Callithrix jacchus: one gene and its partners. The protein of the gene in region 2 interacts with the protein of the main gene of each other region in a biochemical or structural test. Links are inferred from orthologs where the notes say so. Each region holds a gene or a part of one and is shown on either strand. Other genes may lie near its edges.

Region 1 (4,798 bases), on a different chromosome or scaffold from region 2:
ACACCTGCAATCCCAGCACTTTGGGAGGCCAAGGTGAGTTAATCACCTGAGGTCAGGAATTCAAGCCTGACCAACATGGTGAATCCCGTCTCTACTAAAAATACAAAAATATTAGCCGAGCATGGTGGTGGATGCCCGTAATCCCAGCTACTTGGGAGGTTGAGGCAGGAGAACGCTCTTGCCTCAGCTTCCCAAAGTACTGGGATCACTGGTGTGAGCCACCAAGCCTGGACTCTCATGTTCCATTTCTTAAGTGGGATGTGGGTACAGAGACATTTATATACACTTTATGTAGTCTCAGGTGTACGTGAAATACTGAGTGATAACCAAATACTAAAACTGTATGATCTGTCATGAGGCAGGACCATCCACCTAGATCCCCCGAGGCCTTCTGCACTCATCTGGTATCTTACCTCCCCAGAGCTCCACATCCTACCCTGAGGTTCCCTATCTGGCCGGAGACCCTCTTTCATAAAGACCACCTTCTCCAGCTGACCGGTGGTTTTTACACACATATCACAGGTAGAATCTGTAATCTAAGCAAGTTATAGGCCGTAGCAGATTCACTTTCCCTTGCTCCTAGTCACCTGCAGACACCATGCATGTGCTACCTACTGTGCTTCAAGGTATGGTATTCCACTAGCTCTAGACAGTTATTCCCCACCTGCCCACCACCAATAAAACTGCTCACCAAACTTGCAGCAAGTGAGAAATAATAACTAAATGCTCTGATGCTGACTACAAGTAAATGTGAACCCCACGGCCTGCTAAGAAAGCCTCAGGAGCTATGGAAACAGGGAGGGCATTTGGCAGCCTATGAATTATGGAAAAGATTTCAGGACATCTCTAGTAATCATTAACATTTTAGCTACAATGTGATGTCAAAGTGCTGGCTCAGACTGTGGAGCTGCAGCCTCCAAGAATCTTACAACAGTCGCAGCCTGGGATCATGCTCTGCCTCTGATTTTCTGCTAGATTTACTGGTTCTGGCAGGAGCAGAGTATCTTTATCTCCCTAACCATTTTCATGTAAAATAAGATTGGAGCCCTTTCAGGGCCCCGCCTTAGAATTGCTCTGAAAGTAAAAGTACCAAGTGCCTGATTTCTTAGAGGTCTTACCAGTAGATGTTGGCTGTTGATTTAGCTGCTGAGTCATGGGGCTGGGGATATTGGTTTTAAGTAGCCAAAAACGTCAGTGAATTGCTGGTGAAATCACAAACTCTGCTTGCAAAATTCGTGTAATCCTTTAATAAAACATTTTACAATTATTTTTCTGAATTTAATCTTAAAGTTCTTGCTTCTTACCCATTGGAAAACGAATACTATGGACGCATTATGCCTTCATTTTTAACCAACCCCTTGGAAACCTCTCAGTAGCTACCAGGATAAAAATGCTGGGGGTTAAGGAAGAAAAACAGTTTTTGCAGCTGACCAGAAGAAATAATAAATTCAAGTATATATTTGAACATCTCTTTGCAAGGAAATGAGGAAAATCAGATGTTTAGTTCTCTTACAGACCAGCAGTGATACTGAAAAATACAAAAGTAATCCATAACCGAAAACGGAGTCACCATTTCAACCCTCCCTTAAGAATGGAGGGGGAGGTACTGTGGAGCTGAGTTGTAATGGCTATGTGTTCTTGATCAGAAAGGTGCAATCATCCACCAACTCTTTCCATATTCCATGGAATATGACCCGTCTTGAACTTTGAGAAACTCTCTGGGTCTATGTGAAACTCCAGTCCCAAAAAATGTACATGAATGGTTCACAAGAATCCAGGTAGGTTTGATCTAGTTCCCTAGATGGTAATGAGGGCGATGTGAAATTTCAGATGCAACATGAACATGGGCTGGAGAATGGATTAACGCTGGGTTAGCACGTGGGGGTGCGACGGGCACCTAGGAGGCACTCAAAAAGTATGAGGCAGAATTAAAGGGAAGTGAAGCTTCTTTTGGCTGTCTCGGCCGGATTCTCGCCGCAGCAAGGAGAAAAGGACTGGGTCACCTTGGCGGGTGGCAGGCGGAGCCCGGCCAGACGGGCGCGGCTGGGGGGCAGTGCGCAGGCGCAGACGGCGCACGTGGCCCCCAACACGCAGCGCTGCGGCATGGCCCGCGCCCCAACACGAATGGGGCCGTGGCGCTCAGCTACTCAACGTCTCGACGCCAGCGGGGTCTCCCGGATTGCGGCGCAGGGTAGGAGGGCCGGGACCGGCGCGGGCCGCCAAAGTCGTTAGGCAAGGTCGAGGGCCAGACCTGAGGCCCGGGAGCGACGCTGAGTGCGTGCGGGACTCAGAGTACGTGACAGAGCCCTGAGCCCTCATGCCCGCCGCGCCGTCCCTGGCCGTCCCCCAGGGCCCCGGCTCCGCACACCCCAATTCGGCTCAAGGGCCCCATCTGGGGCCAGAGTTTCGCCCGCACCACGGCAGGGCCTCTAGGGAGTCTGGATCCCCCAGATCCGCCGGCCTCACGTCCCCGGGTCGTCGCCCCCCTTTCCCTGCCGCTGCCACCATCGCAGCGGCACGCCCATTTCCGGGAGGTGAGGGCCTGAGTGACGGCTCTCACGACCAATGGCGAGACGGCGCTGAGGGGGCGTACCCGGGAGGCGGGAAGTAGGTGGGGTCTTTTTTAGCTGGGCAGGAAGTCGGCGCGGCTGGCACGAACAGAAGCTGTGAGGACCCGCAGCACGCAGACGTCCTCTGCTTAACGCTCATCTCGGTGTCTGCAGCACTCTCTGCTTCTCTCCTAGGCGACGAGACCCGGCGGTTAGGTAATGATTGGCGAAGGGCTGAACAACCGGCAGGCGACGCAGGGCTTTTCTGGGCTGCTAGCAGGGCTCTTTACCCTGACAGGGAGGTGGCGCGCCCGCAGGCCCAGGGTAGCGGAATCGGGGGCGCGTGCGAGCCATCTCCCCGGGTTGGAACTGGCGCCCCACTTCACCCGGAGGCCCGGGGCGGGGGAGCAATGCTAGGCGTACGTGCAGGGCCCCCAATTTCTTTGGAGGGGAAAGTGCAGATTAGCACGTGGTTACGGATTGCAGGGCTGGGTCACCGTCGGGGAAGGTCGGGAGCTGCACTCGCGTGTGCAACTGGGAGTGGAAGTTGCTTCTCCATTGTAGCCAAGTGTAAGGTTTTTGGGAGAAACGCAGACTGAGCGGCGGTGCCCACTCAGGCCAGGCCCTTCCTAAGATGGAGGAGGATGGCGAGAGGGGAGATGCCCACGAGGCTGCGCCCCCCTCCCCCACCTACAGCCCCTGCCTCGGGCCGCACTCGCGGCCCGCGCTTCTGTCCCGTAGGCTGGTGACTCATTTCCCTCCGAGAAGGCACCTCTTCATGAGGAACCTGCCGCAGAGCCGTTGGATCATTGGGAAGTCCTCCAGGCAACCTCGCCCAAGTTGGGCAAGAGCGGCTCCCCGGCTGGCTACCAACAGTCGGGCCATGATAGGACTTAAGAAGGATGTATTTTAAGAAAGCTTCCTGTTTGCTGTTTCCCTGCGATGTGCGTTTCTCTCTGGGCGGTGGGGTCCATTACTTTACTTGCCTTTCGGGCCCACCCGGGCCCTGACTGCTCAGTTCATTTACTGAATCCCTAATTTGGGATTCCATCCAGGCAACTGAAAAAGCTGTGAATGGGCTGGGCACGGTGGCTCACGCCTGTAATCCCAGCGCTTTGGGAGGCCGAGGTGGGCGGATCACGAGGTCAGGAGTTCTAGACCTGCCTGGCCAACGTGGTAAAACCCCGTCTCTGTTGAAAATAAAAAATTAACCAGGCGTGGTGGCAGCCGCCTGTAGTCCCAGCTATTCGGAAGGCTGGGGCAGGAGAATCAATTGAGCCCAGGAGGCACTGAGCCCAGATGGCACCACTGCACTCCAGCCTGGGCTAGAAGAGTGAAACTCTGTCTCAAAAAAAAAGCAGTGAATGCTGAAGTCAGACCAACCCTCCTCCCTGCCTGTGCTCCTGAGCTATGACAACTTTGCAGAATAGTTTGTCTATCCAACTTAAAGATCACTTACATTTTATTTTCACATCGCAAGACCTTTGTCTTAAGTCACTAAAATGAAACCAAAAACGCTGAGGTGCCCTCATAAAATTGCCTGTAAAAGTATGTCTGAGATACACAAAGTAAATCACAGTGGTGGTCTGGAAATGGGGCAGGGGAGTATTGACTAGAACCGACCTGAGAGAACTTTTGCAGTGATGGAAATGTTACTCGAGTATGTAATTTGCCAAAACGCAAAATTAACTTATTTCTAAAAATATGTTTAAATAAACGTGCCTTTTTGGAACCTAGTAGATAAAAACTAAATGCATTTTTCTTGGCTAATGAATTAAATTCCATTGTTACATAGACTACAAAGCCACATAAGTGACTTCAGTATCTAATTTTGAAAGTTAAAAATCTGCCATTTGCTGCCCCAGGACATTCCAGAGACGCTGTTGGAGGGGAGCCCAGTTAGATAATGGCTTTGAACACTAAGTTCCTCTCACCCACCTCGGTTCTGTAAGCTGTTCAGTTAGGTTTTTGGATCGCACCAAGGAAAAAAGTAAGAAAGGGTTTTTCTTTAAGGAATTGCTACTTGTTTTTCATTGCTGCAAATTCTTGGGTTTTTTTTTTTTTTTTTTTAAACTGTTTTCAAAGAAAGCCCCTTCCCTTGAAGTATCCTAGTGTTCAAAGAATCTTTCCTCTATTTCCAAATTATAAAGCCCCCTTGGGAAGAAATACTAATTAGATGTCATTATTGGCTGGTCCTGGTGGCTCACCCCTATAATCCTAGCATGCTTTGGGAGGCCAAGACAGGGGAG
Region 2 (4,698 bases):
TGCCTATAAATATAGGTGCACATGTACAGATACATGTCTATATCCTATTAAGCCTAGAAGTTTTTTGTGTGACCCATGTCTCCATTTTCTATTGTTCTCCAGTACAATAGCAAGGCTCAAAAATAGTATATTTGCCTCTAGTATTGCTCTGTGCACAATCATTGAAATATGTATGTATAATTTTTAGCATGAAAAAGCAATCTTTTGAAAATGACATTGAAATATGTATGTATAATTTTTAGCAATAAAAAGCAATCTTTTGAAAACAACTATTGATCCCTGGCACTAATGAACAATAGAAAATATTAACAGCACTTGCAGTGCTAGTGCATTACGGCGTTGGTTCACTTGGTTTATGTGGAGTCTAATGAAACATTTGGGAGAAATGGAACAAAATATCTCCCTGAGCTTAAGTAATATACTCAAAATGCCTGCATGTAGTAAGGATTTTTCAAATGCTGAAATATATTTCATTACAGCCAAGCATCAGCAGGGTCCCCAGGGTTTGGATCATTTGAAAATATTGTGTTGGAAAGGGCACCTTAATAACATTGTAAAGCTGGAAGGAGAGAGGGGATATGAACAATAGACACTTTTTTAATCTCGGGGAGAAAAAATCCATCACACGTTAGACTTGTTTTTATATTGGTTTTCCCTCTTCCCTCTTTCTCTCTCACACAATAAAATGTCTTTGAAATATTGACACATAAATAATTTCCCACCTAAACATCCCAGAGCCTGATTCCATCAAAAAGAAAGGAGTAAAAAGCAAGTTACAGCCCAGCAGCACATCTGCCTTCCCTGGTCCTGGGGCTTCCCGCAGGGGCGGCGGGGGCTGTCCACCTCACAAGGCGCTGTCAGCTTTTGTCACTCCCTGATTTCTTATTCTTTGTTACCTTTTTTTGCCTGACTGATTATTACTTGGCATTTAAGTTCCCCTTAGCCTTGCCAGATTCTAAAAGATTATATTCTTTTTAAAAAAGAAGGGAAAGAAGGAAAGAAGACAAAGAGAGAAAAAAAAAATCTCCGAGTGATAACTACTTTTTCCCTTCTTCTTTTTATACAAAGAACACGTTCTTTCACATCCTTGAATTTCTGTGAATTTTGGTTTCCATTCTTTCTCCTTTCAAACCAGACACCTAAATTATACATCGAAGACTGTTAAAAGGATTTTTTTTTCCATAGAAAATATCAAAGAAGCAGCCCAGGAGTATCTGACTTGGTGGAATGGAATCAGTTAGAAAGCCAAAGAAATCACTAAAAAAGTGACTTCTTTTTTTCCCACCAGTTATAATCTTCAGCCTTACTAGTTTATAACAGTTTAATGTTCTATAGAAGAATCCTCTACTAAAGTGTTAATTTTAAATATAGTCATACAGAGAGATCCTCAATCCCCCAGGTAATCTAGATATTAAAGGTGGGGGAGAACAGTCATGTTGACATTCTTTAATCCAAATGCACTTTTTGAAATTAGCAAGGATATTTTCAGCATTCCCAAAAACGTGTTATTAGCACATTGAGCTGAAAACGTTTTTCTTACTCAGTGAGTACAGAAACCAAAGCAGTCTGTGTGTATATCTATGTATAGACTATCATACCTGGGCTTATGGAGGAGTCTAAATTTAAAACGTCCTCTATTCTACCTCCAATGAACATGTTTCCATGTGTGGTGTCTGATCTTCCACGATGTGTGTGGTCGTCTTCTGGTGTAGCACTGTTTGAGGAGCGCTGTGCGCCGCTAGTGTGGGTTTGCACTTATGAGTGTTGTCGTTACATGTGTTCTGCTCTTCTCTCCCTCTCCTTCCCCTGCCCTGCTCCATCAGAAAGAGCTGCAGGTCTCTGCTGCCGCCTAGTAGTTCCCTGTCACAAAGGGATGCCAAGGCTTACCGATCTGTCTGTCAAAACCAAAGATGTCTGGGAAATCCCTCGAGAATCCCTGCAGTTGATCAAGAGACTGGGAAATGGGCAGTTTGGGGAAGTATGGATGGGTATGCTAAGACTCAATTACTCTATTATTGACTTCCTCGTTTGGGAAATCCCAAACACCAAAGATAGAAGGTGAAAATAAAGACTGCATGACCTAGAAGAAAGACTGAATTAGTAATAGTAGGGAAGAATGATATCAATTTTGGTTTTAATATTCTGGAATTTCTGGAAAAAAAGATAGTAAATGGGCAAAATTGGCAAATGGCTCAAGTTGTACTGTTACATGAGCCTCAATTCATAAACCAGCAAATGGTACAGGGAATGTTCCAGCTCCCATAAAAGATCTTGCCCTTCATTTCCAAAAGCAAATATTTGTTGAGTGTCGCCCTAACGGGCAAGTCACCTTCCATCTTTCCTAGTGCATGCATAATTATGGATTATAAGGACAGTGTTTTCTTTATTAATTCCCTTTCCTGTAGAGAAAGCTGATGGTTTGTGTTTTAACTTAACTGTGATTGCATCGAGTTGTACCCCACAAACTTCTGGATTGGCTAAAGATGCTTGGGAAGTTGCACGTCGTTCGTTGTTTCTGGAGAAGAAGCTGGGTCAGGGGTGTTTCGCTGAAGTGTGGCTTGGTAAGGCAGAGGGCACATTTTGTTTTGGCTGCGTCTCAAAGCCGATTAAAAGGATGGTTTTGAACAAAAATGCACACACAGCCGTTGGGACAAAGACACTTAACCTGGATAACTAGACAGGCACAGGCCATCCAGATTTTCAGAATATGCTGATGCCTTGCTGTGCTCATCTGTCCTACTTCATGTGGTTAATTAAGGCACCCGCAGAACAGGAAACCAGAACACTGTGAATCTGGTGTTTCCTCTTCCTAAGAAATGGGAAGGTAAGATACTGTATATGGGCAGCCATAAGAAAGACCGTGGGCATTTTGCTCGATGGGCCTGGGTTTGAATCCTTACTAGCTAAGCAACCATGAACAATGGGCATATTTTACTCCTTTAAGCGTCAGTTTTTTTCATCTGTAAAATTAGAATGATACTTTTTGTTTTTTTGAGACAGAGTCTCGCTCTGTCACCAGGCTGGAGTGCAGTGGTGCGATTTTGGCTCACTGCAACTTCTGCCTCCCAGGTTCAAGCAATTCTCTTGCCTCAGCCTCCCAAGTAACTGGGACTATAGGCATGCACCACCACATCCAGCTAATTTTTGTATTTTTAGTAGAGACAGGGTTTCATCATGTTGGCCAGGATAATCTCAATCTCCTGACCTCATGATCCGCTCACCTTGGCCTCCCAAAGTGCTGAGATTACAAGTGTGAGCCGCCACACCTGGCCAGAATGATACTTATTTTATAGGATTATTTTTAGGATTACATGGGTTAATATGTTTAAAGTCCCTTGCAGATAGTAGATATTCAGTAGACATACATACTTCTCTTCATTTGATTGTCATTGATAAGGCTGGCCACACTATGCCTTTGTAATTTCTTTTATAGCCCTTTTGGGTCAGTTTCAGCTTTGCCACATGAGACAATTCATGGACTTAGGCCCCACTCAAAAACATGTTTCAGTAAAACAATATTAATACTTATGGAATCCTCCATCTTCCTTCCTCAGAGCTGATTAAAAGCAATATAGATCAGTGTCCTTTGCTTTGTGTGGGTATAGATCTTTAGGTGAGGTCTGCATTAAAACAGTTCAAAGTGATAAGTACTACAAAGATATATGTAGGTAGGTAGATGGATAAATAGGTAATAGACAGACACATACATATTTATGAGTTAGCTAGTTTAATAAGAAATCCACATTATTGTGTCCATCTCTCTCTGGTCTTTATCTCAAGTATTGTAAAATATATGACCTCCTCCTTCCTCATTCACCCTCTAATAATAGAGGATTTTAGTCGAATTACTCACACAATCACAGAGGATTTGACCCTATAAGAAAATTTATTTTCAAATTTTACAAATAATCCACTTTAAATCATTACATATACTGTTCACATTTTGTTTCCCAAGTAACACAAGACAACATGCCCGTCAGAATTGAGCTGGATATCTATGTAATTTACCAGGTCTGTATTACAGAGGAAGATCTCACTGTATTTGAAATTTTATGCTCTTTTTTTTTTTTTTTTTCTTTTGAGACAGAGTCTCGCTCTGTACCACTGCTCTGGAGTGCAGTGGTACAATAATCTTGGCTCACTGCAACCTCTGCCTCCTGGGTTCTAGCAGTTTTCTACCTCAGCCTCCTGAATAGCTGGGATTACAGGCACTCGCCACCACACCCAGCTAATTTTTGTATTTTTAGTAGAGACGAGGTTTCACCATCTTGGCCAGGCTGGTCTTGAACTCCTGACCTCGTGATCCACTCGCCTCAGCCTCCCAGGTGCTGACTCTTAAAGAGCAAAGATCACTTATAAATTGTCAAATTTCCCATGTATGCTTAGTGGGCAGATATTTTATGAAGTTTAAATGAACTTTTCTTTAAGCCACTTGGTTTTCCATAATTTATATTTTTGTAGGTTACATGTTGTAATTATATGAACCATGTCTTTAACAGGATAATAAGAACTCCTCCAATTTACAGAATTCTTTTTTTTTTTTTTTTTTTAGACAGAGTTTCACTCTTGTTACCCAGGCTGGAGTGCAGTGGCGCAATCTCAGCTCACTGCAACCTCCGCCTCCTGGGTTCAGGCAATTCTCCTGCTTCAGCCTCCCGAGTAGCTGGGGTTACAGGCATGCGCCACCACACCCAGCTA
Region 3 (4,798 bases), on a different chromosome or scaffold from region 2:
TCACATATGCGATGTTTGACATATGTTTTTAAAGTAACATGATTATGCTTTAAAAACTAAATATGAAAATATAGTTGTGGACTACAAGTTGTAGTTGGGAGCTTCAACTCAACTTTTTTTTTCTTATGGCAAAAGCAATAAGCAACCCCATGAGAGTGGGGTTGAAAATAATACTTTTCTTACATATGTGTGTTTGAAAGACCACTATATTTATTTCAATAACAGCTAAAAATTACCTTAATCTGCATTTGGAAATAAGCCCAAATTGAAATGGAATTCAGATGAATGAATTGAAATTCAAAATTCTCCTAACCAGAGACTTACCCAACAAATTACACCGTTAACTAAATAATTGCTGGATTCCTGTTTATCATGTAATTTGTGTCCAACTTACTGGCATAGAGGGCAAATCATAGAATGACAAAGATTAAGCAATTCTTATGTAGCACATAGGAAAAATATGTTGATTAACTTAGTGCTAAACAGTGTCAGGGTGTCAGGATTATTTCTACCCATAAGGCTGGCCTGGGGATCTGTTCACTATCTTGCTAGTATGAGTCACCTGCTCCTTCTTTGAGGCAAAGGCTCTCAAACTTGCACGTACATTGGAATCACCTGGGGAGCTTTGAAATACACCAGTGCCTGGGTTTCAGTCCCAGAGATTTTCATATAATAACCTGGGATGAGGCCTGGGAGCTGAGACTATGAAAACACCCCAGGTGATTTTAATGTGCAGCCAGGTTGCGAACCATTGCTTTAGAGTGGTCCTCTTTACCCTAAGCTGTATCTGCACTGTGATGATCTCTATTCCAACAGACAGTAGATTAGAGGCTTTCTAGTGAAGGTAAAGAATGCCTTCATTTCGAAGCATTCTAGAAAATGTGTTATACCAGAAAAGATGCCTGGCTCCTATACATCAGTCTTGCTTTGATCTTCCTCCTCTATTTATTCATTAAGCTTCTATTATGTGTAAGATACTGTGCAATTTCAGAATCCTGACCATCCACCCAGATTCTGACCATGCCTCAAACCCCTCTTTATAATATGTAAAGTTTTCAGGACAGTATCAGTTTCTACCTCTGGAATTCAACCTCTGCCCTGGCTTTTTGCCTGTCATATGAATCTGCATTTCTGATTACATCTTAATTTTGAAAATATTTTTATTTTAAAGAAAAAATAACAGATAACATCTTTTTTGAAAAGCTATTTTGTATGGATGTAGGAGTAATTAGTGTTTGATCACCATCAAGTATAGAAATTTGGTGACCTTACACTAAATAAGCACTGTAATACTTAAAACAAGATCTAGAAATTTGCAACCACCAAAAAAGGAATCCTGCCTTTCCTTTGCCACAGAAAACAAAGATGACCTACCACCCCTGAACTACTTTAGTAGGAGGCTATATATCAGAATGTGTTTAGAGAGGTACATGGATGATTGGAAAGTCTGACTAATTGAGATCAAATCCCTTGCCCTTAATGTCTGATGCTAACAAATGTTAACCCCCAAATTAGCACATGAACCTAGATTGAGCTGTACTTTTTTTTTTATGGAAATGAATGACATTCTATGAAAAGCTTATGAGTGTTTCCATCATTTAAATGGTAATATGAATTTAAATACAATTGGAGTTCTTCATTAAAATTATCGTGATACTTTTGTTCTTTTTAATAATGATTATGGTTATGTTTTTACACAAGTGCTATATACCCAAGATAGAAAACTTGAAAAACTCCAAAAAGTATGAAAAAGGAATTATTTGTAATAATATATCCACTCAATTCAAACGCTATTAATTTTGGTGTGAGTCCTTCATAGATAGAGAGATGGAGAGACAGACATGCATGCACATATATACACATGTTTATTCAAAAATACATAAGTTATAAAAAACAGATCAATAATGTCTAACAAAATTTAATATCTAGGCACTTCTAAAAATTTCATATCAATTTTTCAGACTTGAGAGCTACACCTATACCTGTTTCTGTATTATTGAAAAATAATAACATGATAAACCTGGCCAGCTATACAAATGCTCTAAGGGTTGGGATAACATGCAAATATAGCCTCACATATCAATGTGTGAAAGCTAGATAGACCACACAGCTCAGAAAAGGAAGTACACTCTGCATAGCTAACTTGCACATTCACTATCCAAGCCACAACATCTTCGAGGTCATTGTGTGTCAGACGCATCAACTCTTTTCAATCAAAATGGTAAGTAATAGATTGTATTACTCTCCCTGGTCTCCTGGCAAATGTGCTACTCCTCTCTGCATAGAACAGACAGGGTTGAGGGTGCTTCACAGCTAGGTCTTACACGCCTTTGGGATTTTGCTCGGCTACTCATTGTTCCTTGGGCTGAGGAAGTTGCTGAGTCTTTTTCATGCCAATTGAGAGACGTGGCTTCTGGAGTTCCTTTTTTGATTCTAGCCTTCAGAATAGAGGAAGAGCACTGTCTTACAGAAAGAAAATGTGCATTCTTCATCTTTGCCTATTATGATAGCTGGATGCCTGCCCCAGTAGTACAGCCAAGCTTCCTGTTATGAGCTCTTTGACTCCCAGGAAAGGACTCCAGTGGCAAAGGTTGGGAAACGCTGCTGACGGTGATTGCCATTTTGATAACATGATAGATTTTACAAAAGAACCTCTTCTGTTTGAAAATACATTTTTAAAATTTCAATTAGGAGAAGCAAACAAAGCCCAAATAGTCTAAAACTTAGGGACAGATTCTATACCCAAAGTTAATGGGAAGTCATTTTTTGGAGCATACTTAAAATGGTGAGTGGGTTCCCAGTACTACTTTAACCTATAACAAAACTGAACTACAGCAGTAATATATGCTTCACAACTTTCCATTATTTCCCTGCAAAAAAAAGGGGGTGGGTGGGTTCCCAAAATATATGTGGTCTAGAAGAGAATCAATTTTCTATCTTTGTCTCCTATTCCCTGATCCCCAGAAGACTGGAAATTTGTTATCCCTTCTCTTATTATGAAGAGGATATCTTCCTTTTGTCAGCCCCCAGTGAGAAGACAGGAATTGAGACGATGACTCATGCTCACACAATTGGAGGCTGGAGTTCATTGCAGACATTGGAACAGGGAGAACAAAAGGGTCATTCGATGATGTGTGTTGAAGTGACCGTGTATTGTCTGAAAGCACCTTGAGTTAGGATAGGGAAAGAGCAGAGGTGAGAGAGCATAATCTTGTTATGGGGGAGAGAGGAAGAGGGAAGAGTGAGGAGGTGCGAGTCACAGAGTCTTGAGAATGGAAGTGCACAGTGGTGGAGGAAATGTTAGGGACGTGACCCTGTCTGCGGCAACACCTGCAGAAGGCAGTCCCAGGCCCAGGTGGGAGCGGGACTTAGAAATCCCTCTACATTTCCAAACTGGGTCTTTAGGTACAGAATTCTTAGAAAACAGCTTGACCTTAAACAAGGGCACTGTGGTTTAGAAAGTGCTATTTGGATTTTCTTAGGTGACACAAGATAATAGCAATAAAAAAGGAAGTTTAACTGGAGAGCATGTATTTGGTATAATATATGAGTGATGATTTTTTTAAAGATTATGGTTTTCTTATAAAAGTAACACAGCCAGTTGTGGTGGCTCACACGTGTACTCCCAGCACTGTGGGAGGCCAAGGAGGGTGGATCACATGAGGTCAGGAGTTTGAAATCTGCCTGACCAACATGGTGAAACCCCGCCTCTACTAAAAGTACAAAATTAGCTAGGGTTGGCGGCTCGTGCTTGTAATTTCAGCTACTTGGGGGCGTTGAGGCAGGAGAATCACTTGAACCCAAGAGACAGAGGTTGCAGTAAGCCGAGATTGTGCCACTGTATTCCTGCCTGGATGATGAGTGAAACTATGTCTAAATAAAAGGAAGGAAGGAAGGAAGGAAGGAAGGAAGGAAGGAAGGAAGGAAGGAAGGAAGGAAGGAAGGAAGGAAAAAGAAAGAAAGAAAGAAAAAAAAAAAAGAAAGATGTATTTCTCAAAAAAATTTCTTAGAAATAGAGGTAATGGGCAGGTGTGGTGGCTCATGCCTGTAACCCTAGTTCTTTGGGAGGTCAAAGTGGGAGGATTACTTAAGGAGTTAGAGACCAGCCTGGGCAACAAAGCAAGATGTCATTCCTATAAAAAATTAAATAAGTAAATAAATCAGCCAGGCCTGGTGGTGCATGCCTGTGGTCCCACCTGCTAGGAAAGCTGAGGCAGGAGGATTCTTTGAGTTCAGAAGTTCAAGGCATCAGTGATCAATAATCATGTCACACCACTCCAACCTGGGCAACACTGTTTTTTTAAAAAAAAAGAAATATAAATATGCAGAAATTAAACAATAAGCATATTCTACAATTCTATCAACTGAAGGAGAATCACTAGGTTAATGCAGATTCTTCCAGAATGTCATCATTTTAAATACACATTTTATAAATGTAATTTTATAAGTGTTATTATACTTTATGAACCATTTCCCCATGTTTTATTTAAAATATCTTTAATAATATCTGAGTTACAATGTCACTTTTAATGATAAATTATTTTTAATAACTGTGTAGTAGTCCAGAATTTGTTTTAATCAGTTCCATAGAGTTGGAAACTTCTGTTGTCTCTTTTTCTTCCTTATGGTTATAGACAAGACTGTCACAAGCATTTTTTATATATTTTGTCTGATTATTTTGCACTGACAGAACTACTAGCAAAGAAGCTAGGTGAAAACCTACACGTATTTAAAACTTCTAACACAAGTTACCCTGTTATTAAGCAGCTCACTGTTTCTCACTTTACAATGGCATAGT

What was found.
Region 1: of the proteins of FYN (region 2) and ENO1, one has a biochemical effect on the other in vitro, tested with the Homo sapiens proteins (2 studies listed by BioGRID). The link is inferred for Callithrix jacchus from reciprocal best matches to the Homo sapiens genes FYN and ENO1.
Region 3: the proteins of FYN (region 2) and FYB1 form a complex in vitro, tested with the Homo sapiens proteins (2 studies listed by BioGRID and IntAct). The link is inferred for Callithrix jacchus from reciprocal best matches to the Homo sapiens genes FYN and FYB1.

Annotation. Positions count from the first base shown.
Region 1 is NC_133508.1:46,742,116-46,746,913, reverse strand, and holds the start of ENO1 (alpha-enolase), read left to right. Parts: upstream 1-2,063; 5' UTR 2,064-2,191; exon of another isoform or gene 2,192-2,292; intron 2,293-2,650; exon of another isoform or gene 2,651-2,765; intron 2,766-4,798. UniProt on the Homo sapiens protein: Glycolytic enzyme the catalyzes the conversion of 2-phosphoglycerate to phosphoenolpyruvate. In addition to glycolysis, involved in various processes such as growth control, hypoxia tolerance and allergic responses.
Region 2 is NC_133505.1:117,951,401-117,956,098, reverse strand, and holds part of FYN (tyrosine-protein kinase Fyn), read left to right. Parts: intron 1-1,823; coding exon 1,824-1,988; intron 1,989-2,405; coding exon of another isoform or gene 2,406-2,561; intron 2,562-4,698. UniProt on the Homo sapiens protein: Non-receptor tyrosine-protein kinase that plays a role in many biological processes including regulation of cell growth and survival, cell adhesion, integrin-mediated signaling, cytoskeletal remodeling, cell motility, immune response and axon guidance.
Region 3 is NC_133503.1:166,286,247-166,291,044, forward strand, and holds the start of FYB1 (FYN-binding protein 1), read left to right. Parts: upstream 1-2,125; 5' UTR 2,126-2,218; coding exon 2,219-2,221; intron 2,222-4,798. UniProt on the Homo sapiens protein: Acts as an adapter protein of the FYN and LCP2 signaling cascades in T-cells. May play a role in linking T-cell signaling to remodeling of the actin cytoskeleton. Modulates the expression of IL2. Involved in platelet activation.